2 linked regions of the Astyanax mexicanus genome follow. The protein of the gene in region 1 purifies or fractionates together with the protein of each later gene. This does not show direct contact. Links are inferred from orthologs where the notes say so. Each region holds a gene or a part of one and is shown on either strand. Other genes may lie near its edges. The genes, in order: suclg2 and suclg1.

Region 1 (17,204 bases):
AGTATGACCAGGTTCTTATGTTCCAAGGGTCTTGATTCCAAACATCTCACATTTCCAGAGTCTTTTGTTCCCAAAGTCTTATGTTTCCAGTCTTATTCTTGAAGGGTCCTATATTCTTATTTCCTATATTTCCTATATTCCCTAGTATTCTAGGGTCCTACATTCCCATAATCCCATGTTCCAAGGATCCCATATTCCAGATTCCCAGGTTATCGAGGTTGAACTTCCAAGGCTGAACACATTGGGCTAATTATCTACCGCCATGTTAATCAGCCTATTTATTGATTTGCTAAGTTATGGTCAATAGCAACAATAGAATATTTTATATTTCTCCACTACGTATCCTTCTCCCATTTCTTTTTACCTCAGATTATTCCGACCTGAATTGTGCCCAGCAGTGGGTGCAGGATGAAACGCACACCAACCTCTTTGGAGGGGTCATTGAAAAAAAAAACAGACAAAGAGAGAGAGAGAGAGAGAGAGAAAGAGAGAGATTGAGAAACACAGAGAGAGAGATAGAGAGAAAGAGATTCATTGGCGAGGGCTAGTATAAGTAGAATTCTGAAAGGGTGACCCACTCCTCGCTGCAGACGAAGATGGCTCTGCATGCTATCAGTGGTTTGAAATGAAGACCGGCTCCATGGATCTTTCATATACACATCTAAGCTTTGTCTTTCTCTCTCTCTCTACGACAGACGGCGTAGTAAAGGGGGGGTGGAACAGCAGGTGATCTGTTTTATATCAGTTAGGGAGCTGCCGCTGTTGCACTTGTGTTGTGGAGTTTACTCTAGATCACTCCGAGGGTCCTACAGAAGACCGTGGGCTGTGTATAGAACTTCAGAAGACCTTCTTCTATAGTGTTTGGCTTCTTATGGATCAGCTGGAGCATGCTCAGTGGATTTGAGACTCCAGTAATGGTCTACAGTACAATGAAAGATGGTTGCTGTGTGATTAGGATGTGAAGAAATTAGTTTGAATGATTGTTAAGGGTTGTTTTAGCTTCAAATTTGGTGTAATTTGTGGTCCAGCGGTCTAAAGTGATCGCTGGTTTGAATCCCAGTCATGCAGCTTGCCATCAGCTGCCGGAGAGCAGTCCTACGAGAGCACAATTGGCCTTGCTCTCTCTCTCTGTAGATGAATGGCGCTCTTTCCCCTCATTAGTTTGAGGGTGATGTCGATCAGTATGAGGCATCTATAGGCTAATGTATAGGAACCAAGTCGCAGCAAGGACCTGGTGGATGTTGGACACATTGCTCTCCTCCACCTTACTTATGAGGATGCACCACAGGGGCTCAATTTGGCAGTAGATTAGGGTCCATACTTGGCATTTATTATCTTGGTGGTGTGCTTGGAGTCTTTATTATGTTGGAAAACCACCATGTAGCCCAGTTTCTGAAGGGTGGAGATCATGCTCTACTTCAGAATCACACACTCTTAGCTTTGACGCATCTGGAATGGATGATCACACCATAGAAATGTGTATTATTGTTAGACAAATCATTAGTATTTTAGATCTTTTTTGGAAGAAAAGATGCCATGTGCTCTAGACCAAAGAAAAAAAAATGGACCATCAAGACTGTTATCATTCACCAAGTCCAAAAGCCATGTACAGTATATATAGGAAATGTGGTGTCAATGCGTCAATGCGGAAAAGTACATTAAGGTCTCTCATTAGCGATTTCCTTTAATTAAAAAAGGATAAAAAAATAGAAGAAAGGAAGAAGAGAGTGTCTTCTCAGAACCAATAAACTAGAGGGTGACGAAAGAACGCTTGTTTCTACAGGATACATCGCCTGCAGGACTTTGCTTTCCGGATGCCTTGGGCTAGATAATGAATATTCTGAAAAGGTGAAGCAAAAAAGATAAATAAATAATGTGAATCACTGGCTGAAACAAGGACCAAAAGCTCCAGGACTATTATGGCTTTAGTTCTGACTTCCAACATAACCCACTTTTACTCTAATGATACTGATGGTATAGTTTTAAATATAAATTCAGGTTGTATTTCATGATCTAATCTATAGGTTTTTAAAGATATTTGGCCAGACAGACCAGCATTGATATATAGGTACATTCATTTAGTTAAAGAAACATTATGTATTAATTGATTGTGGGCATGTCAAATATAAATAGCATACATTTTACATTACGTTTTCATGGCATTTACCTCAGATTTTTATCCAAAGTGACTTATTTCTATTTCTTTTACAGATATGGACCGATGTAGTGTTACAGTAGGAGTCTTGCCCATGGATTCTTATTGGTGTAGTGCAGCATCCAGTAACCCAGACCAGGAATTGAACCCCAGTCTTCCACATGATGTGATAGCTCACTGGGAGGTAGTCGTGTTATCCACTACACAACCAATACACCAACCACCACTCATGCATAAGCATATCCAAATACATAGCTGTTACGCAAAATCTATTGCACAGATAGTAACACATTAACAAACCACTGAACACCTCTGCAACCAGGAAATACACCATAGCAACCCCTTAGCAACCACTTAGCAACTTGTCTTCTAATCACTTTGCAGGCTGATCCTTTGTGTAAAACTGCTTACAATGTTTTGTAAATCTAAACTGCAAAGTCGTCGTTTTTCCTGAAGTGAATATATCAGGCCTGCCGCACCTCCAGAGGTATTCATGTAGCCCCACACAGTTCTACAGTAGCATGGAATGTGCCATGAAAATGAAAAATCAGTGCAGAGCAATAGCCTGGAGAAAAGCCTGCGCAGATGGAGCGCGCCACGCCTCCCTCATTCTTCTGAAAGCAGCGAATTGCAGCGGCGGAATACGCAGAAATTAAATAGGCCCATTTACGACAAGCTTCAGGAGAGTGTTCGCGGGTTATGTGGGTTACAGAAGACAGGAATAGAGTCCTCTTAGTCAATCAATAAAAGAGAGAGAGATAAAGAGAGCAGAAGAGAGTGGGGTTAGGTGGAAAAGACAGTAAGAAGTGTCCTGTCTTTCTTTCTCTCTCTTTCTTTCTTTTTCTCTCTCATTTTCTCTCCTTTTCTCTCTATTTATGTGACTACACCCCCCTCCAAAAGTATTGGAACAGTGAGGACAATCTGAGTTGTGCCGAGTGGTCCTGGTTGGATCGCTGTTTTGAATCACGGTCATGCAGCTTGCCATCAGCTGCCAGAGCCCTGAGAGAGCACAATTGGCTTTGGTCTATCTGGGTGGGTAGATGACGCTCTTTCCCCTCGTTACTTCTACGGCAAAAAGATCTTTCTCTCTCTGTTGGTCACTGTTACATCATATTGACCAATGAATAACAAGTCTTTGCAAACTTGCTGAGGGGTCAAGGATAGGAGTGAGGGTCCCATGAGACCCCCAGAGAGATTATTTTTTATGCAGGTTTGATGTAAAGTGTTTTATTAAACTATAGACTGAGTAGATTAAAAACGATTATTCAAGTTTGTGGAAACAAATGGAATAAAAAATGATAAATGTGAAAGGAAATAAAAAAAAAACATTTAAAAAAGCTGAACTTCACAATAAAGACTCTAATTCCCAGCATGCTCACTCACCGGACCTCTCTGACTCTGCTGATCACGTGACACTATGGCGTTCCCACTCGCCGAGCTTCTGATTGCTTACACCTGGACTGCCTTGTATGAATACCCCCCCCCCCCCCCCGTTTCCTTTGTTTCTTTGGTAGATCTTGCTAGATCTCGTTTTTTTCATGTCACCGACTCCTTTTTGTATTTTTTAACTACTCTTTTGCCTTGCCCTCTGCCTTTATGTAAAGTACTGTATCTGCGAGTGCCTACCTCACTCCTGGCCTCATTATCATACTGCAACGCCCCAGCTGAAAGATAAAACTAGTCAATAGGCTTGGGAATCGAGAATCGATTCCTGTTGAGAATCGATTCCATGTGTTTTGATTCCACGGAATCGTTTGGCACCTTGCTTAATGATTCTCTTATCGATTCCAGACAGCACGATCACGCAAGTTACGCATGATTCAGTAAGCACGTCTTTTCAATGGCGTCCACTAGGTTAAAACGCTCGAAAGTTTGCCTTCATTTCACGCTACATAAGGATGGCAACAGGGCGTTTTGCAACCATTGTAAATTTTTGATAACATCGCCGGGAGGGAATACATCAAATATGCACAAACATCTGCGCACACAACATTATTAGAGAGTATTTGCTACATTTCCATATTGCCAGTTGAACATTGTTGTGGACATGTTGACCTTGTTGTTGAGTTTGTAAGGTCGTATGATATTTAAGTAAACAAAGTTGGTGCTTATGAAACTGTTTACTCTCCTTTTTTCCCCAAATTGGAATCGATAAGAGAATCGATAAGGAATCGAATCGTTTCACAGAATCGATAAGGGAATCGGAATCGGAAAAATCTTATCAATTCCCATCCCTACTAGTCAACAGAACAGAACAGAATAGAACCATGAATCCATGAGTCCATGAATGACAACTCACAAGATGAATGCATTCCATATGAATCAAATATTCAGTTTAATGAAATATGGATCTCCGGCCTATTAAAAGTGCCGGGTGCGAGAGCGTGAAGGCAGGAGAGTTTAGGCCCAGACCAAAAAAAAAAAAAACAGAATATACATGAAGGAATGAAAGAAAACTGGGCATATCTGCACATTTGCTGTTGTAAAAATTTTAAATGCAAAGTGGGAGCAAGACAGCTAGAGATAGATAGAGAGAGAGAGAGAGAGAAACAGAGAAATAAAGAGAGAGAGAAGGAGAGGGAGAGAGATATTCACACTGCCTGTAATTCTGCTGATATTATTCATTTCTCTCCGTCTCTCTCTTTGTTCATTTGTTTGTTATAATCATTGTGTTTTATGACCTCAGTAGCGGCTTCTCAGTTTGTGATATATTGCCTGGAGTTTCCATTATTGTGTCCTCCCCGCTGTAAGCATATGCATGAAGCATAAAGCATAAGCCAGCGCGTCTGTGTGAGTTTTATATAACACAGCATTGATGACGCCCATGAATAACACTGACCTCCTGTCTCAGTGTTGACCCTCGGTGTGGTGGTGGGAGTGTGTTGAGCTTTGAGCTCCACTGAGCAAGTAAATAACCTATTTACTATTTACCTATTTGTCTGTCTGTCCGTCTGTCCGTCCAAACATGTCTGTCTGTGTAACCATGTCCATTAATCCAACCATCTTTAAAGCTATGTGTCCAACAGTCTTACCAACCATCTGTCTGTCATATTCTCAGTCCCTCCATCTATATTTTAATTTCTCTGTCTGTTTGTCTGTTCAATTGTCCAACCATGTCTGTCTGTCCAAACACGTCTGTTAGTCCAACAAACTTTCAAGCTATGTGACCAACAGTCTATTCAACCATTTGTTTGTCCAATTCCCAGTCCATCTGGCTATATCCTCATCTATCTCTCTGTGTGTCTGTCCAATTGTCTGCATATGTATTTAACTATCCAACCCTCTCTCTGTCCAAGCATCGGTCCAACCATGTTTGTCTTTCCAACCATGTCTGTTTGTACAACCATCTTTCGAAGTATGTGACCAACATTTTATCCAACCATCTGTCTGTCCAATTCCCTGTCCCTCTGTCTATATCTTCATCTATCTGTCTGTTTGTCTGTTTAATTGTCTGGCTGTCCAATCATCTGTCCAATGTCTGTATAGTCATCTGTCCAACCAGGTCTGTCTGTCCAAACATGTCTGTTAATCCAAAAACTTTGTGACCAACAGTCTTTTCAACAATTCTGTCCAATTCATGGTCCCTCCATATATATAGTTATCTATAGTTATTGATCTGTTTGTCTGTCCAGTTGTCTTTATGTCTATTTATCTGTCCAATCTTCTGTCTGTCCAAACATCTGTCTGTCTGTCTGTCTGCCCAAACATGTCTGTCTGTTCAACCATGTCCATTAGTCCTACCATCTTTTGAGCTATGTGACCATCAGTCGGTCTTTATATTCACTTATCAATCCACATGTCTGTCTGTCCAGCTATCTGGAAATAGAGAGAGAGAGAGAGAGAGAGAGAGAGAGAGAGAGAAAAACAGAAAGAGAGTGCGCAAGAGACAGAGAGATACTGAGAGAGACAGAAAGAGAGCGCGCGTGCGAGAGAGGGGGAGGAGTAAATAGGTTATTTACTTGCTCAGTGGAGCTCAAAGCTCAACACACTCCCACCACCACACCGAGGGTCAACACTGAGACAGGAGGTCAGTGTTATTCATGGGCGTCATCAATGCTGTGTTATATAAAACTCACACAGACGCGCTGCCTTATGCTTTATGCTTCATGCATATGCTTACAGCAGGGAGGACACAATAATGGAAACTCCAGGCAATATATCACGAACGTGCTGCTTTTGTCTGTATGGAAATCATGTTTTGATCATGTTCTTCTCGAGGGAAATAGGAACATTCTTCATGAGGAAATGCTCCGTATCATGTCTGACAGGCAGGCAGCGCTGGCTGACAGCATCCTGTAACTCTATCAAGAGAAATGAATGATATAAAGAAGAGCTAACAACGTTTCTGCACACTGTATTCGTTTCCTCCGCTGCTCTGGGGTCATATTCAGGGCCTGTTGGCACAGATTGGGTGCTTGTTACTATCTCTATCCAGTAGAAGTGCTTCTCGAGAGCCTGTCCTTTCCTGAATAGCAGGCAGAGGAAGGTAATAATCACTGGATGTTTGGGCCGGCCGGTTCAGGGAGGTATAAATTGGGGTCCCCAGTCGTTCCTAAGCCAGCGTCCGTGTTTTCTTCCTTTAATGAATGTCCTATTTGCTCCTCCACCTGATACATATGCAGCACGGTCACCTCCTCACCCTCATTCCTGACTCACCAGAGGCCTCATTTTCTGCGTGTGCAGAGAATCATCACATCTCAATAGTGGAGGAACTGAATTTTAGATCAGGTTTATTTTTGAGCCACATGGCACCAATCTGTCTCATAAACTCATAAAACCTGACAGAAAGGACATATCTGAGACTTCCAGAAGAGACCAGATGATAATTTATGGTAGAATCTGGAACACGCCACAGTAAAGTGCTTCTTTATACTGACTGGCATTATTTAACAATTAATTCAGATTTAGGGTTACAAAAGTCTCAAAAGTAAACAACATTACAAAATGACAATATCTTTATGCAACCCCTTACAGAAATCTGATATGTGATATATACATGTTTGCATGTATCTTAAAGGATTGGGCATATATTTTAATGTATAATATATTTTGCAAAATCATACAGGTGTTTTTTTATCATATATCGTTAAATATGTTTTACACATATGCATGTTTGAATATATTTTGATATGTTACTGGAACATTGAAAAATATGTTTTCATATAGATAGTCACATACACTTCAAAAAATGAAACAAACATGGGTCAGCTATAAAGGAATTGCATTTGCTGTGAGATAAGTCATATTTGAAATGCATATTGCAACGTAAGCATATTTGCATTAAAAATAAAATAGCTGAAAATAGCTATTTTTATGGGATAAATAGCTGAAAAATTCTAAAATTAAACAAATGAATAAATAAATAAATAAATAAATAGTACTGATCTTATTAGTTTAATAGGATAAATAAATGAAATAATCCTAAAACGAAAGAGTATAAACATATATATATAAATAAATAAATAAATAAATAATAGATAAACAGGACTGACCTTATTACTTCAATGGGATTAATAGCTGAAATAATTCTGTAAAAATAAATTAATTAATTAAATATGAATAAATTAAATATATAGATACATAATATTTGTATATAAATAATATATGAATACTGCTGAACTTTTTATTTTAATAGTACAAGTAGCTTAAATAATCCTGAAAGGACTAAAAATAAATAAATGAATAAATAAATAAAATATGTAGATAAATATATAGATACATAGTAATTTAATGGGCTAAATAGCTGAAACAATTATAAAAATAATATATAAAAAAATAAAAAATAAGTTCTCCGAGTGCAGAGAGTGAAGTTTCTGCGGTGACGTCACGAGCCCCGTCCGCGAGCGTGGCTCTCCGCGCGCACGTGGACACCGCGCTCACTTCCGGCTGAACATGGCGGCGTGCATGATGTGGAGAGCGGTGCAGAGCGGAGCTGAGCGCGCGGGCCGGTTACTGCGCACGAGACAGGTACCAAAACACACACACGACCACACACCGGCTCGCGCACACAGCGCAGACCCTCAGTACACATCACCCCGCGAGCCCCCTCCCCGCAGCGCGCTGTGTATCCGGGGCTGAGAGAGCGGTCAGTCTGCTGTTTACTGTTTATCTCCCCTCTGCTCTGCAGCTCCACTGTGGAGAAGGACAGGGGGCATGTGGGGGTTTGGGGGGTTCTAAGGTAACCCTGAGATTTAGGGGTGTTTGGTGAGGAAGCTGGGGGTCTGGGGGTCACTCTGCTGTTTGACTTTGACCTTTAGACCCTCAGAGTTTCCAGCTATGTGATTGGAAAACTTGTGCAAAGCCCTAAAACCACCTTCTCAACTCTTCTTTGTGGATAATAATATTGTTTTTGTTCTGCTGTTTACTTAATTTCCTCGTTGCATCCTGAAGGTCCACTGTGGAGAACTAGAAAGGTGTTTTGGGGTCCATTTAGTAGTGAAACAAAGGTTTGGGGGGTCTTTCTGCTGTTTGACTTTGACCTTTAGACCCTCAGAGTTGCCAGGTGTGACTGGGAAACTTGTGCAAAGCTCTAAAACGCCTTCTCTTAGTCTTTTTATGGATAATAATATGGTTTATTCTGTGTTTATTTTAGTTAGCTCCTCACTGCAGCTTAGAAGGTCCACTGTGGAAGTGCTTGTGAGGGTTCTGAGGGGTTTCTCTGTAGTTTTAGAGCCTAATTTAGACGTTTGTAACTTAAATGAGGAAGACAAAGGTTTTAGGGTCTTTCTGTTGTTTGTCTTTGACTTTTAGACAGCTATGTGATTAGGAAACTTGTGCAAAGCTCTAAAACCACCTTCTCTTAGTCTTTTACATCTTATCAACTCTTCTTTATGGATAATAATAAGGTTTTTTCTGCTGTTTACTTAATTTCCTTGTTGCATCTTAAAGGTCCACTGTGGAGGACTAGAAATGTGCTTTGTGGTACATTTAGAAGTGAGCTAAAGGTTTGTGGGTCTTTCTGCTGTTTGACTTTGACCTTTAGACCCTTAGAGTTGCCAGGTGTGACTGGAAAACTTGTGCAAAGCTCTAAAACCACCTTCTCTTTTACATCTTCGCAACTCTTCTTTTATGCATATGTTTTATTCTATGTTTGTTTTAGTTAGCTCCTCACTGCAGCTTAGAAGGTCCACTGTGGAAGTGCTTGTAAGGGTTCTGAGGGGTTTCTCTGCTGTTTTATAATGTAATTTACACTTTCATTCTAAGTTAAGTGAGGGAGACAAAAGTTTGAGTGTCTTTCTGTTGCTGGACTTTGACCTTTAGACCCTCAGAGTTTCCAGCTGTGTGACTGGAAAACTCCTAACTGCTAACTCCTACACTTTCTCTAACCTGCACTGTGGAAGTGCTTGTAAGGGTTCTGATGTGGTTCTCTGCAGTTTTAGGACCTAATTTACACTTTTTTTCTAAGTTAAGTGAGGGAGACAAAGGTTTGAGAGTCCTTCTGCTGTTTAACTTTGACCATTAGAGTTTTCAGCTGGGTGATTGGGAAACTTGTGCAAAGATCTAAAACCACATTCTTTAAGTCTTCGACATCTTCTCAACTCCTCTTTATGGGAAATAATATTGTTTTTTCTGTTGTTTAGAAGCGAGGGAGAAAAGGTTGCTAGCTGTGTGACTTGGAAACTTGTGCAAAGCTTCTTTGTTTAGATTATTGAGTTTGCATCCTTCTCATACTCTTAAACAAAAGTTCAGCTCTTCTTCATGGATAATAATTTGGTTTATATTTTGCTGTTTGCTTTAGTTAGCTCCTCACTGCAGCTTAGGGGTCTTTCACTGTAGAAGTGATTGTAAGGTTTCTGAAGGGGTTCTCTGCAATTTTAGGATCTAATTTACACTTTTATTCTAACTTAAGTAAGGAAGACAACGGTTTGAGGGTCTTTCTGTTGTTTGACTTTGACCTTTAGACCCTTAGAGTTGCCAGGTCTTCTTCTTAATGGATTATAATATGGTTTATTTAGCTGTTTCTTTCAGTATTCTCCTCAATGCCCGTGCTTGGCATTGGGTCTAGTGAGCCCCCCCCCCCCCCCCCCCCATGTAGATAGACTTTAACCCCTCTTTTTTTCTTTGTCAGCAGCAGCAGTTAGCCAATAGCAGTTCTGTTTTTATCTCTTGTATTCAAAGTGCACTCGGTCAACCTGTTGCCTGTGGCACAAAGAACACCAGAAGTCCACAAGTAACACAACCCTCCCCACCCCCTCCCAGATCACCCCCAAGCACACTTCCCTTGTAATAACCTAATTTGAGCAATAGTCTTGAATTTCAGGTGTTGCACCACAATGGACTTAAAATTTGTGAAATATGCACACTTTTCTAGTATTCTATCAATTGGTGCAATACGTTACACCTGTTTAACATTAAAAGTAGTGCTTGGTGATATGATGTCAAAGCAAGTAATTCGTCCAGTGCAAGCCTCATTGGAATCAAATATATGGCAGAACCAGTTTCTTTGTGTTCACACTGCTACGAAAAGCCCAATTTTGTTAAGGTCACATCATGGTAACTTTTGAGATATATATATCTGATCCGTTGCAACACATGAAAATAGCTAAAATCTGATTTGAAATCCTTATTTTGGGTTCACACTGCTCTGGAAACACCAGATCTGTGCCACATATAGCATTCTGATCCAACCATTCTCATTAATCGAATATGAAAAGCTATTAGATTTTCAGATCCAATTTCGATTAAAAAAACCTTCCAAGACACCATATGATACATCAGCTGATACATCAGCTCACAGATGCAGCCTTGTGCTGATCAACATTACCCTAGTAGTGATGAGGGGAAAGAGCGCCATCTACTCTACCCACCCAGAGAGAACAAGGCCAGTTGTGCTCTCTTAGGGCTCCGGCAGCCGATGGCAAGCTGCATGACTGGGATTCGAACCAGCGATCTCTCAATCATAGTGGCAGCGCCCAAAAAATCTCTCTTTACTTTTACATTTGTTTAATATGTTCCCATAATCAGCCGTTCAGTACCTCCCTCCAACAAGTGTTTTATCTAGGCTAAAGGAAGCTTGCTGAAGCCAAGTGCTAACTCCTACACTTTCTCTAACCTCTATAAGCTGGAATGTAGGTTGTTGAATTTGAATCGGCCTTCATTTCTACTATTTCTGTTCTTAGCATGATCCCTAAATAGTCCAGAGCTGTTGACACACAAAACAACAGCTTATTTAGTGCAGGACTCTGAGACTCCTGCTGCACTGGAGTGAGAAGTTTTTTATTTATTTATTTATTTAGTTTAGGTTCACTTCTTCTATACACAGTGCTAAACAAACTTTAATTTCAGACAAAGAGAAAACCTGAGTAAATATAAAAAGCCCTTTTTTAAATTATAGTTTCATTTATTATGGGAAAGAAAATCTATTTAAACCAACCTAGCCATAGAGGAAAAAGTATTTGCCTCCTTATTCTTGTAAAATAACTTGGTTGTGCCTCCTTTGGCAGCAACAATTGCAATCAAGCATTGTCGATAACTGGTAACTGGAGTCTTTTACATCTCTGTGGAGGAATTTTGGTCTACTTTTCTTTGGAGAATTGTTTTTATTCAGTCATATTGGAGCCAATTTTTTTCCCATTTTCTTCCTAATTTACAAGGCATGACCCAACCCAACCCACTCATTAAGACTCCCTCTATCATTAGTGATGCCCCAACACACCAGGAGAATAAAGACTAGCACATGCCTCCTCTGATACATGTGAAGTCAGCCACTGCCTCTTTTTGAACTGCTGCTGCTGATGCAGTGGGGAATAGTTCAAATACATCAGCTCACAGACGCAGCCCTGTGCTGATCAACATCACCCTTGGAGTGATGAGGGGACAGAGCGCTATCTACTGTACCCACCCAGAGAAAGCAACAGCAGTTGTGCTCTCTCAGGTCTCTGGTTGCCGATGGCAAGCTGCATGAACAGGATTCAAATTGGCGATCTCACCGGACCACTCGGAGTCCCACATTGGAGGTTTTTCAAGCATGAACTGTCTGTTTAAGATCATGTACAGCATCGTGATTTGATTTTGACTAGGCCATTCTGAGGTGGACTTGCTCGTGTGCTTTGGGTCATTGTCCTGCTTCAGAACCCAAGTACGCCTGAGTTTAAGGTCACAAACAGATGGCCAGACATTCTCCTTTCACACTACCACCCCCATGTTTAAAAGTCTGGATTTTAAACGATATTGACAAAATGCAGTCTATCATTTGAGTTGGGTCCAAACTTATTGAACATTTGCCGCATTGCAATCCTAAAAAAAAACATACAGAATGTTCAATACTCTGTGCAGCTTCACACAGGTGAGCAAATCTTTACATTATCAGTGAAATCCAGCCTTCATGTTGATGGATCAGAGAGCGCTCTAAAGCTCACAGCGTCTTTAATCACACCTCATCATTCTGAGAACAGAGCTGATTAAACTGTTAATAGAAACCGCTAAGTCTGTTAAACAGCCACCTAACTGTATACTGATACAGTATAATCTTAGCTCACACTCACCTCACAGCCCTTATCACCTGATTTACAGTGAACAGTATAGCGCACACAGCCAACACGGAGTTAGCAGCTCAGAAAACTATGCTTGATTTTACAGGAGGTAGTTAAGCATAATATTTGCTCTATATAAATTTACCTAAGGTTGCTTGGGGATGGGGAATGACTATACACTGATGGTAAATGTCAGAAACTTGGGCACACACCCAGTTAGGGCTGCACGATTTGGGCAACATATCTAATTGCGATTTTTCCACAGAATATTGTGATTTCGGTTTAAAGTCCATTAATCCTAATTAGTGGTTAACATATCTCTAAAATATAATTATAAACTTCTTTCCACAAGGGTTCACAGATTAATTGCAGTTGTCAGTTTTATTGTTAAATTTCAAGAAACAAAATAAATAAATAAATAAATAATACAGCTCTGGAAAAAATTAAGAGACCACTTCATTCCAAATAAAAATATTGTCATTTAAAGCATTTATTTGCAGAAAATAACAAAAAAGATGCAGAGCTTTCAAACCTCAAATAATGCAAAGAAAAAAAAGTTTCGTATTCATAAAGTTTTAAGAGTTCAGAAATCAATATTTGGTGGAATAACCCTGGTTTTAATCACAGTTTTTTATGCATCTTGGCATCATGTTCTCCTCCCTCCACCAGTCTTACACACTGCTTTTGGATAACTTTATGCTACTCACTCCTGGTGCAAAACAAAAAATCAAGCAGTTCAGCTTGGTTTGATGGCTTTTGATCATCCATCTTCATCTCTTTGATAAAATTAAATCTTTTGATGGAAAAGCGCTAAAGGAGTTTCTTTTGTTTGAGGCATGGAACTCTTCCTAAACCTGAATGAGGAGCAGGTTTTGAAGAAGGTTCTGCTAGATTTTCTTTAGTTTTTTCAGGTGAACAACTTAAAAAATAGAAGTTCCCATCCGTTTGGCACCTAATCTCTCGCTCAAACTCTTAGATTCTATAATTCTTTTCACGTTTCCATTCTTGTGCTCTTGTAGAGAAATTCCACAAAGCTGCTCTGAAGCCCGTTCAGCAGGTTGGTGTGATGACTATACCATTTTAACACTCCACTCCTGTTCGGCCTACACACACACACACACACACACACACACACACACACACACACAAACAAAAAAAAGTGCATTTTGGAGGCAGCGCGAGTGCTTAGCTGGCATATATTTTCATCTGCTCGGTATAATGAGATGAGTGTGCTGGAGCAGGGGACTGGCCTGGCGTCAGTGTGAGAAAGGCTCTCTGATAATGAGAAACTACACCGTGCCAGCATACATTACAGCTCCCGTCTTTATCCAAATGGGTTTGTTTAAGAGTTGCGTAAGATCGGGGCAGCGTGAGAGCGTCTTTAGGGTAATGCAGGTTATTTTAAGCCGCCCACGAAAGACTTGAGCTGCGGACTTCATTGCAAGTGGCAGCAATTATTCAAAACTTAAATTATCGGAAGCGTAGGAGCGGTTATCTAGGATTAAGACTATAAGACTGATGCTAAAAGGTTATGAATTTGGACATCCGGCAACAATGAAACTCAGTCTAACCTTATTTTCCGTGCCCTGAAGAGAGCTTTCTACGTATGTTTGTCAACTTGCTTGGTAGCAATCTAGTGTAGTGATTTTGGTCCTAGTGAATTCGAGAGTCTGGAGTTCTCTTTCATTGGACTTAGGTCTTGTATCTATCTGTCTATCTGCTCCCAGAACCATGTGTGCGGTCGCCTGACTGGTTCATTTTGTGACGTGACCATGTCAGCGTATCATGTCACCCCCCCTTTTTCACTTTATATCTTGATAAAGACATGGTGTGATGGGGTACTGTAGTAAACTTTGTGAAGCTTCGTGGAGTGATTGTGGGTACTGACAGCATGGTGATAAATCCACGATTTTATCCAAGTAAGTTTGCACAAAATAATCCATGGTTTCGATGCAGATTAAGAACCCCTGCCATAGATGAATCACTTTTGATTTTGTAAGGAACCATTTTCAGAATAGAGAAAGCAACATCACTCTGTATGTAATGTGTCCTGGTCTTTGGATGCAAGGTAGCCCCAAACTATGATACTATGAACAATGCTACCACCCTCATGCTTAATAGTGATGGGGATAGGTGAGTGATGTTGGCATGCAGTTGGCAGAATTGCAGAATACGTGCCAAAATGACATACAAAACCATTATTACATTACATTTTACTGCATTTGATTCCTTTCTTAAAAAAAAGAAAAACAAATACACAAGAATTTACATTAAAACCAAACGCTGCGTGAATTTTTTTTTTTTTTTTTTTAGAGTGGAGTAGATTTTAACATGGGCTTGGTTCTTAAGCTTGGGACTTTTTAGAAGCTTGGAGTTTGCTTGCTTGCTTGGAGTTTGCTTGCTTGCTTGGAGTTTGCTTGCTTGCTTGGAGTTTGCTTGCTTGCTTGGAGTTTGCTTGCTTGCTTGGAGTTTGCTTGCTTGCTTGGAGTTTGCTTGCTTGCTTGGAGTTTGCTTGCTTGCTTGGAGTTTGCTTGCTTGCTTGGAGTTTGCTTGCTTGCTTGGAGTTTGCTTGCTTGCTTGGAGTTTGCTTGCTTGCTTGGAGTTTGCTTGCTTGCTTGGAGTTTGCTTGCTTGCTTGGAGTTTCTTTGCTTGCTTGGAGTTTGCTAAAGTAGGTAATAAAAATTAGGGCTGCCTCGAATAGCATTCTTTGAGCTTTTTTTTAAAAATACGAATAGCGTTTTTATTCAGCACTGATTGGTAGCGAATGTTTGAATATTCGTAAAAAAAAAAAAAACTGATTAAAGTATGAAAAAAATGCAACTCGCATTCCCTTAATCCACCGCAAAATTTTCCACGGACCCCCGCCCCTGAAAAAAAGAGAAGATTTCCCACCCCTCTCCTCGACCGGGTCGGGCTCAAAAAATGGTCTGATGGGCGTCTGTTTTTTAAAATTCACACTGTTCTTATTTATCATGAATTATCTACTAGAGACAGATTATATCTGTACAGTGTCATTTATTTCACACCAATTTTTTTGTGTTTTCACCCCAATTTTTTTTTGTTTTCACCTCGTATTTTTTGTGTTTTTAGCCTAGATTTTTTTTGTGTTTTCACCCCGGAATGGTGCCCCACACCACGGCTTCTCTGCTGCGTACGCTGCTTCACGGCTTCTCCATTGTGAAAGGCGGCCCAGTAAATTGCTGTTTTTGTGTTTTTGAACTTAGGCTATTTGCTTAAAAACAAACATCAAAAAAAACTTTGTTCAGAAAGTATTTTATATTCTTAAACATTGTTAATTATATTAGAGTAGAGGAAAGTCATTGTAAATTATGTCTCTCTTATACCGCCATTAACCTGAACGGAAGTGTGATGTTAGAGCAAGGTGGAGCTAAGAAAAGGAAAAAAACAAATATCTGAATACCAAAATTTTAAACCGAACACCTACTCAACGAGCGAATATCTGAATACTGGAATATTCGGGTCCATCCCTACCTGTAATGGATTTATCTATCAGCAAAAGCGCTTCTAGCTTCGAGTGGTGTTTGCCTGATGATGGGCTCAACCAGTTGACTGGTTTCTCTGCATTCTAATGTCAAAAGACGACAAGAGCATTCCAGAAAGAGCGTTTTACTGCACGGCCGCCGTCCGTGGTAGTCAGGTGAGCCGAACTTTTAACTTTGCAGTCTTGCGGCTTCTGTACTTTTTTTCCCCCCACTTTTCTCCTCTTCAAAGCTGCACGGCCAGATATAAGTGTGATGATCTGAAGCGTCCCAGCGCCTGCCGTCGCGGACCCGAGGAGCCGTGATTGACAGGCTTGTATCGTGGCGATTCAGTCCCATCTGCTATGACAGTTCATCCTCCGCAGCAATTCAATTTGCCATGGCTTGTCAATAACAATGCAAAGAGCAGCTCTACGGCCCGGGATGGATTGGAGCTGGGCGATGCCTGATAAACACAATCTAGCGCCGAAATTCCTGTCTGGACTACGAGATAAACCTGGGGCTGTTTTTTTTTTTTTTTTTTTTTTTTTTTCCACCAACACGGCCGCGCCTGTGCAGCACCGCTACAGCCACGGCAACATCATCGCCAATGAAAAATAAATAAATGCCCTCAAAAAAAAGAAGTTCTGTTGGTGCTGGGATCGTAAACAACGATGAAGGGATGCGACTGAGGGAGATGTTTGCAGGGTTACAGCAGATGATTGATCTTACACTCAAAAAACAAAAAAAAAACAAAACAAAGTTCAAAGAGTTCTGTGAGCGATGCTATAGATTAGAGATTAGAAAGTCTTTAAATAATCTGGACCTTAAATCCATCAAAATTCGTCATTAATTTGATATGTCCACTTAATTTATACAGTTGTTATACTTATAGTTGATCTAGTGAACTGCTGTGGAAAGAATTGAGACCACTTTAAAATGAAATGTTTTTCAGATTTGTACTATTTTTAGTAAAATGACATTTCTCCCAAATTCCCCCCCAAAAATGTGTCATTTAGAGCATTTATTTGTAGAAAATGAGAAATGGTCATATAACCTCATATAATTGCAAAGAAAACAAGTTCATATTTAGTTCAG
Region 2 (16,915 bases), on another chromosome or scaffold:
GTTCAGCAGATTTCATGTTTATTATGTATTTATTTTTGGTTATACATCTGTTTTCCTTAGAGACAGAGAGACAGAGACAGAGACAGAGAGAGAGACAGAGAGAGAGACAGAGACACAGATAGACTTAAGTGTCTGTCAGCAGAAGGAGTGGGTCATTTCAGAAGTTCACACATGTAAAGTTCAGTGGGTGACCTTCTGGGATCGTCTTACACACAGAAAGACCCCCCCCCCCACCACTTCCCCGTTCACCAGCTATCAGATACACACAAATAAAGCCAGGCGAAAATGTCCTTAAGACTCCGGAGTAAACAACTGGGGATGGAATTCTCTCTGATTTGATTCCTTTATTAAACAAATCAATGCATCATGACATTTAATTTACTCTGATATAAAGTGTTCTATCACAATGCTTTATTATACTTTTATGGATCTGTTATTATCAATATCTGAACAGCAAATGGTTGCTCTGCATACTTTATTATTTTTAAACACTGTTTTTTACTCACTGTCCACTCTATCGATAGGGGTATGATATATCGTATCGTACACAATAATATACCACCAACATTTTTTTATATCATGAACAATAATATACCCTGAATATTGTAAAATATTTTTACTGTTTTTTTTAGCAACAGACAAATTCATACTGTTCTCATTTCCCATTATATATCTACTAGATATATAATTATTATTTTATTTTAATCCTGGATATATGGAGATATTTGGAGTGCATTACTATTATTAGTATCATGACGAGATTCTGGATCATTGACTATTACTGTTACAAATCTTATACATTTCTTGCATTTTTTTTAATATATAGGGGTGTGACATATATTTAACCCCTTAACGCCTGTTGTTGCAAATTGGCGACTAACCGTTTGATTCAATCAACCTGCCAAGATAGCGCCTGCATTCCCCCAATGCCTGTTAGTGCATATTCGCCACGGACCTAGGAACCTTTGACAATTTACAATTCAAATGAATCTAGAATTCAAATTAATGAAATGTTTCCTGTAATATTTGTGTATATTGTGTTGGTGACAGTAATTGGTGTTATTTATTATTGAATGCCTGCTGTTGGGTGCATAAATAAAACATTGATTTTTCACTGTTATATTACTCTGTTATTGTTATCTTAGTATGGACCATTATGTCTGCTGTAGCAAATTTGCAACATACCAAATTTACCCCAAATAGACCATATTGCCTGTTGTTGCAAATTTGCAACATACCAAAATTTCTATTTATTTTTGTGCAAAAGTGAAATTAATAATCTCAACAATATTTACTATCTACTTAAAGGTAAAACACACATGAAACATTTTTTCATATACAGCTACATTAATTCAGGCGTTAAGGGGTTAATATATATATTTAATAGGGGTGTGACATATCATAATGCATGCAATTATAAAAACTATTATTTTATTTTTTTTGTTGCATTGTTTGTATTGTATTCTTGAAATACACTATTTTTTTCTAATTCAGTGTTTTGTCATATTATTGCAATAATTACATCAAATGCCCCTGCATGTAGATAAAGTAAAGTCAGAGACAGAAGCTCTGAATCTTTTGCTGCAAGTCTGTGTTGGTCAACCTTCAGTTCTTCAGTTTCTGGTTGGTGGTCTACTGCCAGCAGTGACAATGAGGTGTTTAAAAACTCCAGCAGCACTGCTGTATCTGATCAAATTGTACTAGAACAACAAACATAAAATAGCTGCTCTGTGGTATTTGTCTCCCCTGTGGGGTCCTGACTATTGAAGAACAGGGTGAAATAAGGATAATAAAAGTATACAGAGAAACTGAGATACAGGACTACAGTCTGTAATTATTATGGAACTACAAACTGTCCAATACGCTCAGTAGAAAAACTCTTTCAGATCTTCTGTGCAGACTGGACTGGACTCTTCTGCCCTTCTGATTGGATTATGCTGACTGAGTTATATTGAGATCTAACAACTTGGAAACCTTTACCCTGCTATCTGATCCTTCACTGCATCTTAGTTAATGATTACTAATGATGTTACAACATCACAGATAAACCCGCAGCACCTCGTTCATCTGCAGCAATGGATATCTATTGCTTTTAAAGCTACAGCTTCAATTAAACATCTTTATAAAGCGAGGGGAAAAATGATCCAGCCGTTTTCCCGTCATTCTCTTCCAATTTTTCCCACCATCGCAACAACCTCCTGCCAACTTTCCTCTCATCGCTTTCCCTGCCTCCCTCATTTAGGTCGGCCGTTTTCCCGTTAACGACGGTGCTGCGAGTTTGAAGTATGGTTTGCTTATCAAGGCGCTGAGCAAAGTCAACGTGCCTCAATGACATCCCAGCCGTTCCTCATCTTCCTTCTAATTATTATGAGTGCTCATTAGAACTTCATCTAATAGCCCTTTATTATGTTAAGGAGTCGTCGAGACGAGCGAGAGAAGGGCAGAAGAGAAGGAGGGAGGACATTTATTTATTTTAAAAGGTCGAGGGGTGTAGGGAAGGTTTGGACACGGCGGCCAAAAATAGCACATGCACTAGGGGTGTCACGATTTCGATATTTCATCGAAATCGATCGAAATTATGTCATGGTTTCGAGCATCGAAGTCAAAAAGAGGATCGACGATCCCTCCCTCTAAGCTACGCAAATAGTGCAGCACACTGTAGCTCAAAGAGCAGCTCTTTCTCCAGAGAGTGTGGACATTCTCATCTTCTTAAAGAAAAACTTAAAATATAAATATAAATAACAGTTGTTTTTGTCTAGCCTCAAATATGTTAATAGTTTTGGTTTATGGTCTTTCTCCCCCAAAAAAGTGTCCACAACAGACAACCGAATACATTTGTACTCAATTAATATCTGTACTTTCCATGTTTAAACATCTGTTTTTTTTTACGTCTTTTATATCTTGTGTTCAGCTGATTTTATTGTTTTAAAGGTTGAGCACATGGCAGACATAATTGTTGATTAATCAGCTAATCGAAAAAAAATATTCATCAGATTAGTCGACTAATAAAATAATCATTAGTTGTAGCCCCAATATTTAATCATTTCTTACTGTGCTAGATCTAATCAGAATTTACTCGCAAAAATGAGACACATTTGTGCTCCTGGAGTTACTAGCACCCGTAACCGTATTTAGGATTCATACACTTTTTAACCAATACATTTCCATAATTTTTTTTTAATGACTTTTCCGCATCTCCAAAATCCAATAAAACTATAATCGATAGTAAAATTAATCTAACACACTTTTTTTTATAATAAAACCTGTCAGATTCTGAGAGCTACATTGTGTAAAGGCTAAATTACTGTATTAACTCTGAGCTGATGTATTTGTATTTGATGTATTTGTAGCTCAAAATATTTTTTCTTCATCGATAAACTGAAACACAGATTTGTAGATCAAATTTCCATGACTTTTCCAAAACTTTTGGGTATTTTTATTTTTCCAAAACTTATCCAGGCCTGGAAATTGCCATTTTTAAATTTCATTCGTTTTTTTTTTTTTTTTTTTCGGTTTTTCATGACCGTATGAACCCTGCATATTGGCCAGGGAACTGAATCAAATACTTGATATGGAAAAATAAATTGGCATATTGATCCTAAAGTAAATCTGGGAGCTTCTTGCTCCTGTGCGTCCTTTGTACTCGCCAAAGTCAGACGCCAATTAGCTTGATGTAAACTTAGCATGACACCGCTAAATGCTGGCTAAATGCTTTCAGCTCAAGTTTTCCTAGGTAAAACCTGTGCTTGTGAAATCTGGAATCTAGGGGTGTGCCATATCGTATCGTACGCGATAACATTTTCAATATCGTGTACGATATTATACTCTGAAATATGGTGCCATATCACCCACCCCTAATTATTATCACATCAGGATACTACTTTTTTTGCTGTCTTTAGCAAAAAAACAAACAAAAAAAAAACAACAGAGACAGATGATATCTGTCCAGTATCATTTATTTTACTTTGATCCTGGATATATAGAGATATGTAGAGCGCATTGTTAGTATCATGACTGCTACAAATTAACGTTACTGATAAAATTCTTGTATTTTATGAAATCTCAGTTAAGGGTGCCATATCATATTGTAAGAAAATTTAATGTTCATTTTGGTGCAGTAGTGTATTCTTAAAATAATTTTTTTATTCATTTTTTTTTTTGTCATATCGCCAAGTATATCGTTATCGCAAAAATACCATGAAATATCATGATATTATTTTAGGGTCGTATCGCCCACCCCTACGGGAATCTACACATTCTCAGTAAGACTGCAAGAACTGCATTATTTTGCACGTGATTGCTCGCCCATACGATATTAAAAATGCATTAAAAAAGGTAATCTAACTAGTTATTTTTTTTAAGCAACTGTGGATGATGAACCACCAACCTGCTTTCCTGTGAAGCCCTGGCAGATGACCTTAGTGTCCTTGGTGATGTAGAGATGCTTCCTGTTTCCGGTATAACAGTGTCGGACCCCAGCCTGCTGCACTGGAATCAAACAGAACACAGGAGGAGAGGAATTAGAACCAGAGATAAAAATAAAAACACTCCTATCTTACCTGAGAGACCCACAGCAGGATAAAGGCCGACCTGTATCTCAGTGATAACGCTTCAATCAGCTGAGTGAGAGTTATTAAAGCAGGGGTCAGCAGCAGCAGCAGCGGCGGCTCTCAGTACAGCCAGGGTCTTAATAATGCAGTTTAATACATCAACAATGGAAAGTTCTTATCACGCTGAGGTGTGAAAAATTATTCATGAGGAAAAACAAGCAGGAGAAAAAAGGAGAACTGGTGGTGGAGCTGATGAGTGGGTTTTAAAACAAGGCCTGACGAGAGAATACGCAGCGATAAGTGAGCTATACATGGAGTAACAGCACCAACATGTGTTCATGGTGTGGCACCTCACTTCATACATTAATAATGATAAAACCTCAGGAAATAATGAAGGATAGGGATATCCTACACTGTTCCTTTTACTTAAATATTATATATTTATTTTATTTAACAAATAAAATCAATATATAGATATCCTATTTTTTTATGTTATTAATTTTTTTTTCATGTTTTATAACATGAATCCATTGATAGATAAAGAAAAGACAGAGATAAAGCAATAATAAAACTACATAAATAAACTCAGGGAACACACAGGAAGAATATGAAATAATTTAATTTTTTTTTTTTTTTTTTTTTTACTCCAAATGTATTTTTTCTCACAATCAATTTTTTTAAGTTTGTTTCTGCTGCATATACATATATATATATATATTTTAATAGAATAGAATACAAAATATATCTGCCACTTCTTCTTAATTTTGTGCAATATTATGAAATTGCAATTACAAAACTATACAGGGGTCTTTTAACTTAAAATGAAAAATACAGGAAGTGGGGACAAGAGGAGAGAAAACGAAAAATTAAAACTAATTTTAATAGACAGATTTTACATTTAGATGCATCAAAATAAAAATTAATTTTTAATAGAAAATTAAATGAAAAAAAAAATCTTAAAAACCCTTCAATAAAAAAATTATGAAAAATTAATTTTAACTTAAAATTAATATTAAACAAGCGAGCCCATAATAAGATTAGGTCACCTTCTCCACACACTAATAATACGATTTTGGTTTATTTTATGTGGATAATAACAACTAGACTAAAGGTCTAGTTATGGTTAACCTGGTCAAATAAGGGTCCAGTAACCTACATTCATGCAAACAACAGCAGGACCAGCAGTTCCCCTTTATAAGCAATGGGAAGTTAGCCAATATAGATATTTCAGGTTAGTGGACATTCCAGCAGAGGAGCCAAAATTGCACAATTCAGGACTAGCTATGTTAATAACGCTGTCCTTCTGCACTGCTTACTGCTCACCAGACCAAAAAATATAGGAATAGAGCCCTAAAAACCATGTGGATTTGATTCCAAGGGATGAACCTTTGAGCCAGACCCAGCTCCAGCAGCTCTTATAGCTTGACTGACCCTAAACTTTGACCCCGGCTGTCTAAACTAAGATTTATAAATAGAGAAGAAATGTACTCAAGCAGAGCCTTGCGGCAATGTAGCAATGTAGTTCATTTAAACTAGATGCTAATGTGAAAAGACAGTTTATGTCATTTTATATCTTGACATTTAGGAAACATCAGATTTTTGACCTACAGAAAAAAACACATTAGTAGCTGCAGACTATTAAATACTATTCTGTACTTATTACAGTGTTTTTTATTCAAAACCTGCAGCACTTTATGCAGTTAAAGACGAGTATTTACACTCTCTGTAATGAAATGCTCAGAAAAGTATCACAATAACGTTTATCACAGTATGATAAAAGTAGTCAATTGCCCTGCAGCAACACTGGACCATGTTTAACATATAATTTTAATCCCAGTTTCCTCAGCTCTTTAAAAAAAAAAAAAAGAGTGAAAAAGCATTATCATGCTCCTGTATCATCTTTAAAGCAGTGTCATAATATTGTCATACAATTCCATTAATATAATGCATCATACTTATACCTAGAATAATATAATGTCCAAAAATATATATTTATGTGACCCATATCAAAGCTATACCTTAAGATCAGTGGTTTTTTTTTTCATTATTTTAAATGTTCTGCAATGTGGATTAATTCTAAATTCATCCAAGCTGTGAAGATCACACATATGGAACTATTAAGAAAAGAAAAAAAACAAACAAACCTGAAGTAGTTGGCAAACTAAACTTTAGTATAAAAAAAAATAATTACGAAAAGAAAACCTGCATTGTACCAGCACAGAAATGATGGGTTGTTATGGAAGTTAGACTTTTCTGTGCTTTTCTTTTTCTCTCTTTCTTTCTTTTCTACGTAATTTACTTTATTATTATTATTAAACAGCAGAAGCTCCAGTAGAAGGCAGGTATGGGAGTGCTAAATTGTATACACCTAAATTATAATATGGACAAATAAAACCCGGATTGATTTAAAAGTATAACCCAGATTATAAATATTAATGCGGATTAAACAGTGAGTGTGAACATTGCTGGTGTAAAGCGGAGTAACAGTTGCAGTTCTGAGTTGAAGTGCAGCAGGTTTGTTTAGGGTTATTTCTAGGGTTAAGTTCAGCAGGTTTGTTTAGGGTTAATGATTTTGAAGAACAAACTGGATTATTAGTATTAAGGCGGATTAAACAGAGAGTGTGAACACTGCTGGTGTAAAGCGGAGTAACAGTTGCAGTTCTGAGCTGAAGTGCAGCAGGTTTGTTTAGGGTTATTTCTAGGGTTAAGTTCAGTAGGTTAGTTTAGGGTTAATGATTTTGAAGAACAAACTGGATTACTAGTATTAAGGCGGATTAAACAGAGAGTGTGAACATTGCTTGTGTAAAGCGGAGTAACAGTTGCAGTTCTAAGCTGAAGTGCAGCAGGTTAGTTTAGGGTTATATCTCTCAGAGAGCGGCCCGGCCTACTTCAACCTCTGCAGCTGTACAGCCGCTCACCGCCCGCTCGACAGCTCCCCCAGCCCCGCAGCCCGCTCTACCCCGCACATACCCCCGCTATAAACCCCGCACAGCGCCGTGTTACTGTAAAAATACTCACAGAGCAGCCGGCCGAACAGTCTACCGCTCGCCATCTTCGGTCATTCACCAATGACACGGGGAGAGACGTCACACGCCGCGGAGCCTCATATCCGCCTGACCCGAGCCGAATACACCTAGAAACCCCGAGATTCACACCAAAAAACCCCGCAGAAAATCACACACAGCACTGTAAACACTTATACTGGGCTTTATAAAAATATATAAACTGTAAATAATGAAAAATAAATGAAATATTCCCATACAGGCGGTCTGCTCTGGTCCTGCAGCGCCGGGAATGCTGGGTAATGTAGTTTTACATGATACTGATGCAAATTCAAAGCCCCCACTGCAGTAAACCGCAGTCTGAAATAATAATAATAATAATATTAATAATAATAATAATAATAATAATAATAATAATAATAATAATAATAATAATAATAATAATAATAATAATAATAATAATAATTAATATATCTCAATTTTCCTTGATTTTTTATTTGTTTATACTGGTACTGTCATTCCCTCTTTATTCCCTGCATCATACCTATATACTCTTATATTGCCTTGTGTCTCTTGTCTCACGTATGTAAGTTATATATATATATATATCTGTGACATTTTGGTATTGTACATTTATTGTCTCTTATTTATAATATATATTTATAATGTTGTACTTGTTGTAACTTTGGCAGGGAAAGCAACACATTTTAATCCTCCATTTGTCCTGTACATATGCAGTATTGACAATAAAACTACTTGACTTGACTTAACTTGACTAAATATTGAGGAAAACACAACACTTAATATTAATTTATGTTTTTGACATTCTGAAAAAGTTATTTTTTTCTTTGTACAATATTTTTATTGTACAGAGCTAGAGCTACTGACTAGAGCTAGAGCTGCACTACGGAATTAAGTCACTTTAGTAGGTAAAATTAGGTGTAGAGGCAAGAAATTAAAGTAATCAACGCTTGACTGACTAGTCACAGCTGTTAACTGAAAGCCATTCTAGGTGACTACCTTATAAAGCAGACTGAGAGAATCCAGCCAAGAAGTGCCTACTTTAAAGCTTTCTTTAAAGAATCTAAAATATAAAACTTATATTGTACATATCTTTATTTTGGATAATAATAAACAAATTAGAACTAAATTAATAAATAAATATTTTTGGCATAAATAAATTCTTTTTTTTTTTTTTACCGTTAACCCCATTTATTTACGCCAAAAATTATTTATTTATTTATGTATTTTAATTTGAAAAAAAAAGAATGTATATATATATATATACATATTTTTTTTTTTCGTTTTTTACCATTAACCCCATATCATTTATTTATGCCAAAAATGATTTATTCACTAATTTATTTTAATTTGTTCATTATTTTTATCACACCAAAAACAATATCAATATGAGTTTGGAAAATTACACGCACTAAAAAGTATTAAAAACACAAATTAAATAAAATAAGGAGAATAAATATACAAAACAAGTGTATCATTATTCTTGTATTAATTTAATTTAATTATATAAATGTATCATTTAAAAAAAAGACCTTAGTATTGAAAAACTGTGCAGGTGTGGGCGGGGAGTACCGCTAACCTTAGCCAATAGGAAAACACCAGCTCTGCGGACGCTGATTGGCTGGCAGTGTTGTTGCTCCGCCTCCTCCGCTTGCGCTTATTCACCATCACTCTGTACGGCAGCGGCTCCGCAGGCCGCTTACTGACGCTACGCAGAAAAACTCCGCAGCTCGACGTCAGGTCCTCCAGGCTCAGGGAAACAGCTCGCTGGGTGCGAATGAAAAAGCGCCCAGAAAGAGTTCAAGATGGTGCTGGAGACTATTTCCAAAATCATTAAAGTGCAGCTGCCTGCCTACCTGAAGAAGCTGCCGCTGCCCGAGACAATCGGCGGATTCACCAGACTCACAGGTAACGTTACCGCCTGGCCTGGAGAGAGACAGAGAGATGAGGAGGGGGGGGGGGCATTCTATTATATACAGTAAATAAAGTTTTAGAGCTGCAGGGTTAAAATTGAGGCTTTAAAAAGTGTAAAAAAAGAGTTTAACAAGTGTTTTACTCCTTTTTCTACTATTCAGGAGTGTAACGTTTAATTTTACACTCATTTTAGACTCATTTTTGGGAAGATATGTTGCACACAGTGAAATATTTATCATCTAGCTTAGTAGTAAAGTTATGCAGCATGAAAAGTGCACCAGATCTAAACATATCCAAAGTTCAGTGATTTTATCTTCAAATAACAGTAAAAATCAACCTTTAAGTTTACTTTTCTAAGAGTTAAGAGCCAGCACACGTGCTACAAACCACACATCCACTGATTCATAGCTGATTAATACCAGATATTCACTGATGCAGTGTCTGTTAGCTTAGTTTTACACACATCTTCAGGTTGGAGGAGGTGTTTTTTTTTTTTTTTTTCATTATTTTAACTGAAATGAGCCAGTGGTTACTGTTAGGTGTTGGTCAGGCCAGAACATAATTAAAAATATCACAATTTCACAGTAACGTTATAAATTTTGGTACATTTCAGGGGTGGTCACTTCTGAAAATTTGATCTTCAATTTGATCATTTTTAGTCATATATTGTTTTAAATACAGGTAATAGATTATCAACAAGTTTGATTCGTCAAGCTCAGGTACAAAACAGTTTTTTTAAATTAGATTATGCAATATATTTGGTAACTTTGGTAACAGTAACAGGGTTGCGAGTAACAGGGTTGCAAATCTAGGCTAAGTTGTGGTTTAACCCTGGAACAGATGCTACCTGAGCTTATTTTTCCACCAAATTTTACAGTTTGTCTTATAACAAGTACATTTTTTCTCAAAAAATAGTCATTTCAATATTTTGGATATGTACATTTGAAGTTGAAGTAGTGGGACAGGAAATGTACCACAATATATTTTTTTTTTTTGCATACAATATGATAGGACAAACCCCTAGTCTACAGGATGGTGCTTTCTTCATCAAAACAGTCTGACTGTCTGTGTTTACGTCTCTAAAATGACTGTGTTAAACTGCTACCACACCCCCGTCAGGCAGGTCCTGTCGCGCGACTGTCGCAGTGCTGAGGTCGGCACGCCTACACCTATATATGCAGTATGTAATAGAGTGCGGGGAGAGGTAATACTGCAGAATGCAGGCTGCACCCCTCCCTCAGGTGATCATGCAGTTGCCTGTGTTTAGTCAGGGAGGCTGAGGAGAGTGTATAGGCGTAATTGTAGCCGGGAATGTGAAGCCATATTTATTCTGCAGCAGACCCGCCCGCCGCTGCTTTTTTTAAAAGTCACTTCAGGCATATTTTACCTCAGTTTCAACCCATGACCCAGTCAAAACCATCACCATCACCACTGAATGAAATCTTTAGTACAGACTTAATTTAACAATTAAAAATGATTCCCACTCCATTGAGCTTATAGGATTTGTCTGGGATCGCACTCTGTGATCATAACTCTTTGAAGTGAGCGTGTAATGTAATGTAATCAGCTTAGGATTGTTTAATTAAGCATATAGCCTACTTTTCTCTTGCTCAGATTAACTCTGATTATTACTGTGAGAATCAACCTGTACTCAGTCTGTTCTTTTGGCGAAGTGCAATGCTTATACGCCATTTATTAATTGCATGGTCTGCGGTGTGACTGTCGCACATGTGTACACTGCAATATTAAAGCTAAAACTACAACTCTGGAAAAAAAATAAGAGAACACTTAAAAATTACAAGAGGAAGATGGATGGTCACAAGCCATCAAACCAAACTGAACTGCTTTAATTTTTGCACCAGGAGTAAAGCAGCATAAAGTTATCCAAAAGCAGTGTGTAAGACTGGTGGAGGAGGAGAACATGATGCCAAGATGCATGAAAAAAAAAACTGTGATTACAGTGTTAGGGTTATTCCACCAAATATTGATATCTGAACTCTTAAAACTTTATGAATATGAACTTGTTTTTTTCTTTGCATTATTTGAGGTCTGAAAGCTCTCACATTACTATCCTAGTCCTGTACAGCTATCAGATGGAAAACAGCTGACCCATTGGTGATATCCAGCATTTTAAGTAATCGTGAATGCTTTATTTTGTTTTAATGCTTTATTTTATTGCGAGAGTAGAGTTTAAAAATGAATTTAATTAATTTATGAGAAACGTTGCTTCCAAAAAGTGGTTAAAGACACTAGATATTAACTAGATATTCTCCTTGTTGTTTGTGTTCAGTTTCAGAGTGGCTGCGTCTCCTGCCTTTGCTGGGAATTCTGGCCCTGCTGGGCTATCTGACCATCCGGCCCTTCCTCCCGAAGAAGAAGAAGCAGAGAGACTGCCTCATCAATCTGAAGATCCAAAAAGAGAACCCCAAAGTGGTTAACGAGATCGACATAGAAGACTTACGAAGCCCCAACGTCTGCTACTGCAGGTGTTGGCGCTCCAAAACGGTAAGAAGTGGAGACAGGGAAAACGGTATGGAGAGTGAACTAAAGGATTTGTGTCTGTGCTTCCTTAGCAACCAGTCATGGACAGAATTTGGTTTAAAGGCAATTTAAACAAAAAAAAAAAGGGAAGGTACAGAACTTGCACAAAAGCCTTTTTAGGATTTTTGAATGTGTTTTCAAGAAGCTTGAAAGCCAGACAGATCCAAAGGAAACTTGAATCCCAGTAGAAGTTGCATAACTTTTACCAAGAGGTTTCTAGGATTTTTACCTTAAATACATCATTAATCATGATTATCGCAGTATTCTATATTGAAAGCAGTCAGTTTTGCATTTGCTTATGGATATTTTTGTAGAATTGTTTGTTTTTGCAGTTTAGATGGTAGATATAATACAAGATATAATTGCATTATGTTGACCACACTATTCTTGTTTTTTATTAATTATTTATCGAATCTTAATAAATCACTGTTATTTATACAAACATGTTTTACAGATGGTTTTGTTTCTACTCAATTACCTTGAAATATTGTAAAATTATTTCAGGGCAATTTCACACACCCCTAACATACAGACAGATTGATTATCCTAGGTTTAATGATATGAACTGTAAATATTAATTCAGAAAAATCATTTGCACTTTTGAAAAAAAGTCCATCCTTTCCTACAGTCAGTCATTTTAAATGTGCATTAAGTTTTCTTTTTGTTGCACACTAACCACCCACAATAAACCACATTCAGACATGTTTCTACAAGTTTTACAAGTTGAACCAGAGCCGAACCACCTCAGAGCAAAAGCGAAACAATGACACAGGATTAGCCAATGTCACGACCTAAAAATGACTGCTTAACCACGCTTTAATAACAGTTTACTCCTTGAAAAAGTCAGAATTTGCATCCGTCTAGGAGAGGAAGTTGGATGTGACTGGAAGTCATCTATTGACACTCTTGATGTGTTTTGCATATCTGCACATGGCAACAAGGGGTTTTGGCTTCCTCTTTTCAGTATAGCATAAAAAAACGGCTGTGTCAAAGCCTGTGGTGTGAGGTTGTGTGTGAGGTTGTGTTACTGTGTGGGGGGGGGGGGGGGGGGTTGTAGTTTGGCCAAAAAAAAATGAAACTTGTCATTAATGCATCGCTGCATTCATTTCCTGTTGCAGTTTCCTGTTTGTGATAAATCACATATAAAGCACAACGAGTTGACCGGGGACAACGTGGGGCCGCTCATACTGAAGAAGAAGATTCTATAATCTGCTTTTTTTACGGCCACGAGGTGCGGACAGCAGAGCAGGCACTCTCACTTCCCTTCAAGATAAGCCACCAGTATCTGTTTCTCATCATTAAAATACAGTACAGATCTTCACGCTTCTTCAGTCATCCTCTAAAGGCTGCGTTCACACTGCAGGTAAAATCCAAATTCAGATCAGATTGGATTTGGGCCATCATCAGATTTACCTGCCGTGTGAATCTACTAATCTAATTGTCTGGATCCTACAATGATTGATTTTTGCTTTTTAAAGACATTGCCACATTAGTGCATTAGTGTGTCTCATCTGTCCGTATGCTGTGAAGAGTGGGACTGATCTCACAGACCACCCTGTTGTTTTTTTGTACTTTAAAGTGGTTTATTCAGTCTGCCTTAAATTAAGTGCAATATAACTGGACTAGGGATGCATCGAATATTTGGCAACCGAAATTATGTGGCAAAACGGCAAAAAAAGAAAAAATGCACTTTCGGTTTTCAGCTGAAACAAACGAGTAATTCATACTGAGAGATTTAAATTTGAGAGAGTAATTACTCAATCAAATTGCATCCAGTGTGGACTGAGGTGCTTTTTTTTTTTTTTTTTTTTTTTTTATAAGTGCAGATTAAAAAAACAAAAGTCACAAAACAAAAAAAATAATCGATATTGGGCTTTTAGATAAATGTTTGATAAACATTTATTATTTCAGAGCATCCCTAAACTGGACCACAAACATTATACACAAACTACACACATTTCTATGCTGTTTTATTGGCTGTATCTGTTTTTTTTTAAAGGAATACTCATTCAGCATTTTAAATTAAAAAAAAAAACAATCCATATCTACTGTATGTGTGCAGTGCTATTACTTTTGGCTAGACGTGACTTTGCCTTAAAATGAAAGTTTTCTGATGGTGTGGGCGTGTCGAATGGTGGTGTACGCAATCGAGTGGGCGTGTCAAAACTTTTCTGCCGAAAAGGATAAAATATACTTATAATAATCACAAATTCACCAATTTTTACCCGATTTTCACACGGTTTGATTTGTTAAAAACAGGAGAGATGAAGTAATGATTCAGGACGAAAGGTGGTCGTCTAGACCAATAGACGACCACCTTTCGACACGCCCACACCTTTCGACACGCCCACACCTTTCGACACGCCCCCAAGCAGTCTCACATTCACTAGGCAGGAACGCTAAATTCAGATCTATTCCAAGCTCACAAAAATGCATTAAAATAACTCCATGTTGTCCATGTTGGTGAACAGTATGATACAGACGCAGTATGTAGAAATGTTTTTCTGAGTTAAAATGCTGAATTATTCCTTTATTGAAGCTACAGTTTCAGTGTATTCAGTCAGCTAGGTCATGGCTAACACAATCAATTCCACAGAAGCCATTTAAAGCCACACTCTTACATTTTCCGGTTTTACGTCATCGAGATAATGTCTCCTTTGTCCTTTGTTTGTTTTTTGTTTTGTTTGTTTTTTGTTTTTCTTGGTCATGAGATATGAGTTCAATTATTTATGGAGTGTCTGATGCTGGGTCTCTATCCTCATTCTTATATACAGTACTATCTTCATTAAAGTTTTTTGTTTGATTATGGATTATGGATAAAATCTGTACAGATGACTCTAATCAGGTGTCCCAGTGCTGTATGATGCTGTTATCTCTGCGCTGGTTTTGGAATCCAAACACAGTAAACCGTTAATAATTCATTAATAAGCCAACACGGTCCAAGCGAATGTTTTTAGATCTGATCAGTTCATCATTTTACTACACTTTTCTACCACTTTAGTACAAACTACAATCTACTTTACACTCACTTCTCCAGAAACACCTGACCTGTACCTCCTATATGTAGGTGTACATGTTTATTTTTATTTTTATTTTTATTTTTTATATATATATATATATATATGTACGGGTGTCCTCAAAATGTCCCAATACGTGGACCAATAGAAATGCCCCAAAATGGAATAACTTGAAAAATAATAAATTCTATTCTATTCTAATTTTTACATTGATTTCAGTCTCCCTGTTGGTCGCCCTCTTGTCCTTCATCATTGGTCACATGACGCTGCCATGGGATGGATCTGATTTTTGATTGGTTGATTGTCAGTCCATCAGAAACACTGAAGTGTTTAAAACCTCCAGCAGCTCTGCTGCATCTGATGCACTTGTACCAGCACAACACACAATAATAACCATATTTTTTTTTTGACATAATGTGAATCTGGTTCTTAGTCTTTATATTTTATATTTAGGCACATTTCTTCTTATGAATAGACCAATAGAAATGCTCCAAATAAATATTAAAATAATACAATAATGGAATAAAATTTAAAGTGAAGTATTTTTCTTTTTACTCAAAGTTGCCATTTGGGAGATTTTTTGTAGGTTTTTGTATGACTGAGACGATGTATTTTTTATATATGTAGTATTTCCTCTTTCCTCTGCAGTTCTCATATAATTGGAAATGTTGTGTGTAACTGTACATCTATTGTGCCTATTTTTTTTTTGTTTTGTTTTGTTTATTTTTGTTTCTATTTTATAAAATAAAAGATTCTAAACTTCAACTTTTGTTATTATTAATGTGTCTAATTTAGGAGCCATATAATTTATTAAAAAGTTAAAAGCGCATACCTCCTGCAGTGAAACAAATTTACAAACTTCATAAACACTATTTGAACCATAGACTGTATATAGCTGGACAGAGCATCGTCTCTCAAAAGTGAATCCACCACAGGTCGGGCGCCCCCTGCTGTTCGGTTGCAGAAAGCTGTGTAACCCCACCCATCCCCATAGGTTTCAAAACCGGCAAAACAGAACAACTTTCAATCACGTTTTTTTTATTTTCTAATATACTGTAATTCTACCTCCATTATTTAAATGCAGCAGCTTTAGTGTAACCTCTGCTTATATTGTAAATTTTTATATCCCCACAGAATTCGATTTTTAAAACGTTATTCAGCTCTATTCAAAAAAGGTGTGGCTATTGTAAAAGGGCTGGTTATGGGCGGGACCAGTAACAGACTGTCAGCTCCGCTCCGCCCCGCTCTGTTCTGCAGCCTGTGACCTCGAGGCAGCCCTCAGGGGCGGGGTTATTTAAATGAGTAGGCGGTCTCTCCACAGTCTTTCTCCCTCCTCTGGTCTCTACTGCACTCTACCATTGACAGTATATATTAACTGGACCAAGCCATCCCGCTGATTTCAACGGAGCCAGGTGAGGCCAATCGTGTCACTTCCTGATCGGCTTCTCGTGGGGCGTTAACCGGGAAAGTGAGAGACTGCGCAGGCGCCAGCATGACGCGAATGAGACAGTGAGAAAAGCTCCATTCCGTCCCATAATGGGGCTTTTATTGAATAAACAGCAGATAAAAACTAGAATTACTGATAGCCAATATCAGTCCACGAATTTACTGAAGAATATTCATAGTTTATCTATATAACAAGGATTTAGAAACTCAGTAATAAGAATAATAAATGTGTAATATAAATTACAGTTATATCTCTACATTATAATTCTCATAGTCTATCTTACTTCTATTTACAATGTATTATAACTGTTAGTAGTAGCATTATATTTGCATAATAAGAGGTTACTTTGACCCTGCTCTAATTCAATCAGCTCTGTACTTTTAAATTAAGAGGAGCAACTTCTCCAAACATTACAGCGCGGTA

The links.
Region 2: the proteins of suclg2 (region 1) and suclg1 fractionate together in Homo sapiens (co-fractionation; 6 studies listed by BioGRID and IntAct, counting the BioPlex papers as one, with this or other methods). This does not show direct contact. The link is inferred for Astyanax mexicanus from reciprocal best matches to the Homo sapiens genes SUCLG2 and SUCLG1.

Annotation. Positions count from the first base shown.
Region 1 is NC_064431.1:27,373,945-27,391,148, reverse strand, and holds the start of suclg2 (succinyl-CoA ligase [GDP-forming] subunit beta, mitochondrial), read left to right. Parts: upstream 1-8,015; 5' UTR 8,016-8,047; coding exon 8,048-8,122; intron 8,123-17,204. UniProt on the Homo sapiens protein: GTP-specific succinyl-CoA synthetase functions in the citric acid cycle (TCA), coupling the hydrolysis of succinyl-CoA to the synthesis of GTP and thus represents the only step of substrate-level phosphorylation in the TCA.
Region 2 is NC_064432.1:1,832,019-1,848,933, forward strand, and holds the start of suclg1 (succinate--CoA ligase [ADP/GDP-forming] subunit alpha, mitochondrial), read right to left. Parts: upstream 7,683-16,915; 5' UTR 7,603-7,682; coding exon 7,569-7,602; intron 4,489-7,568; coding exon 4,388-4,488; intron 1-4,387. Other genes in the region: cisd2 (CDGSH iron-sulfur domain-containing protein 2), read left to right, coding at 9,379-9,481, 11,778-11,992, 13,147-13,236. UniProt on the Homo sapiens protein: Succinyl-CoA synthetase functions in the citric acid cycle (TCA), coupling the hydrolysis of succinyl-CoA to the synthesis of either ATP or GTP and thus represents the only step of substrate-level phosphorylation in the TCA.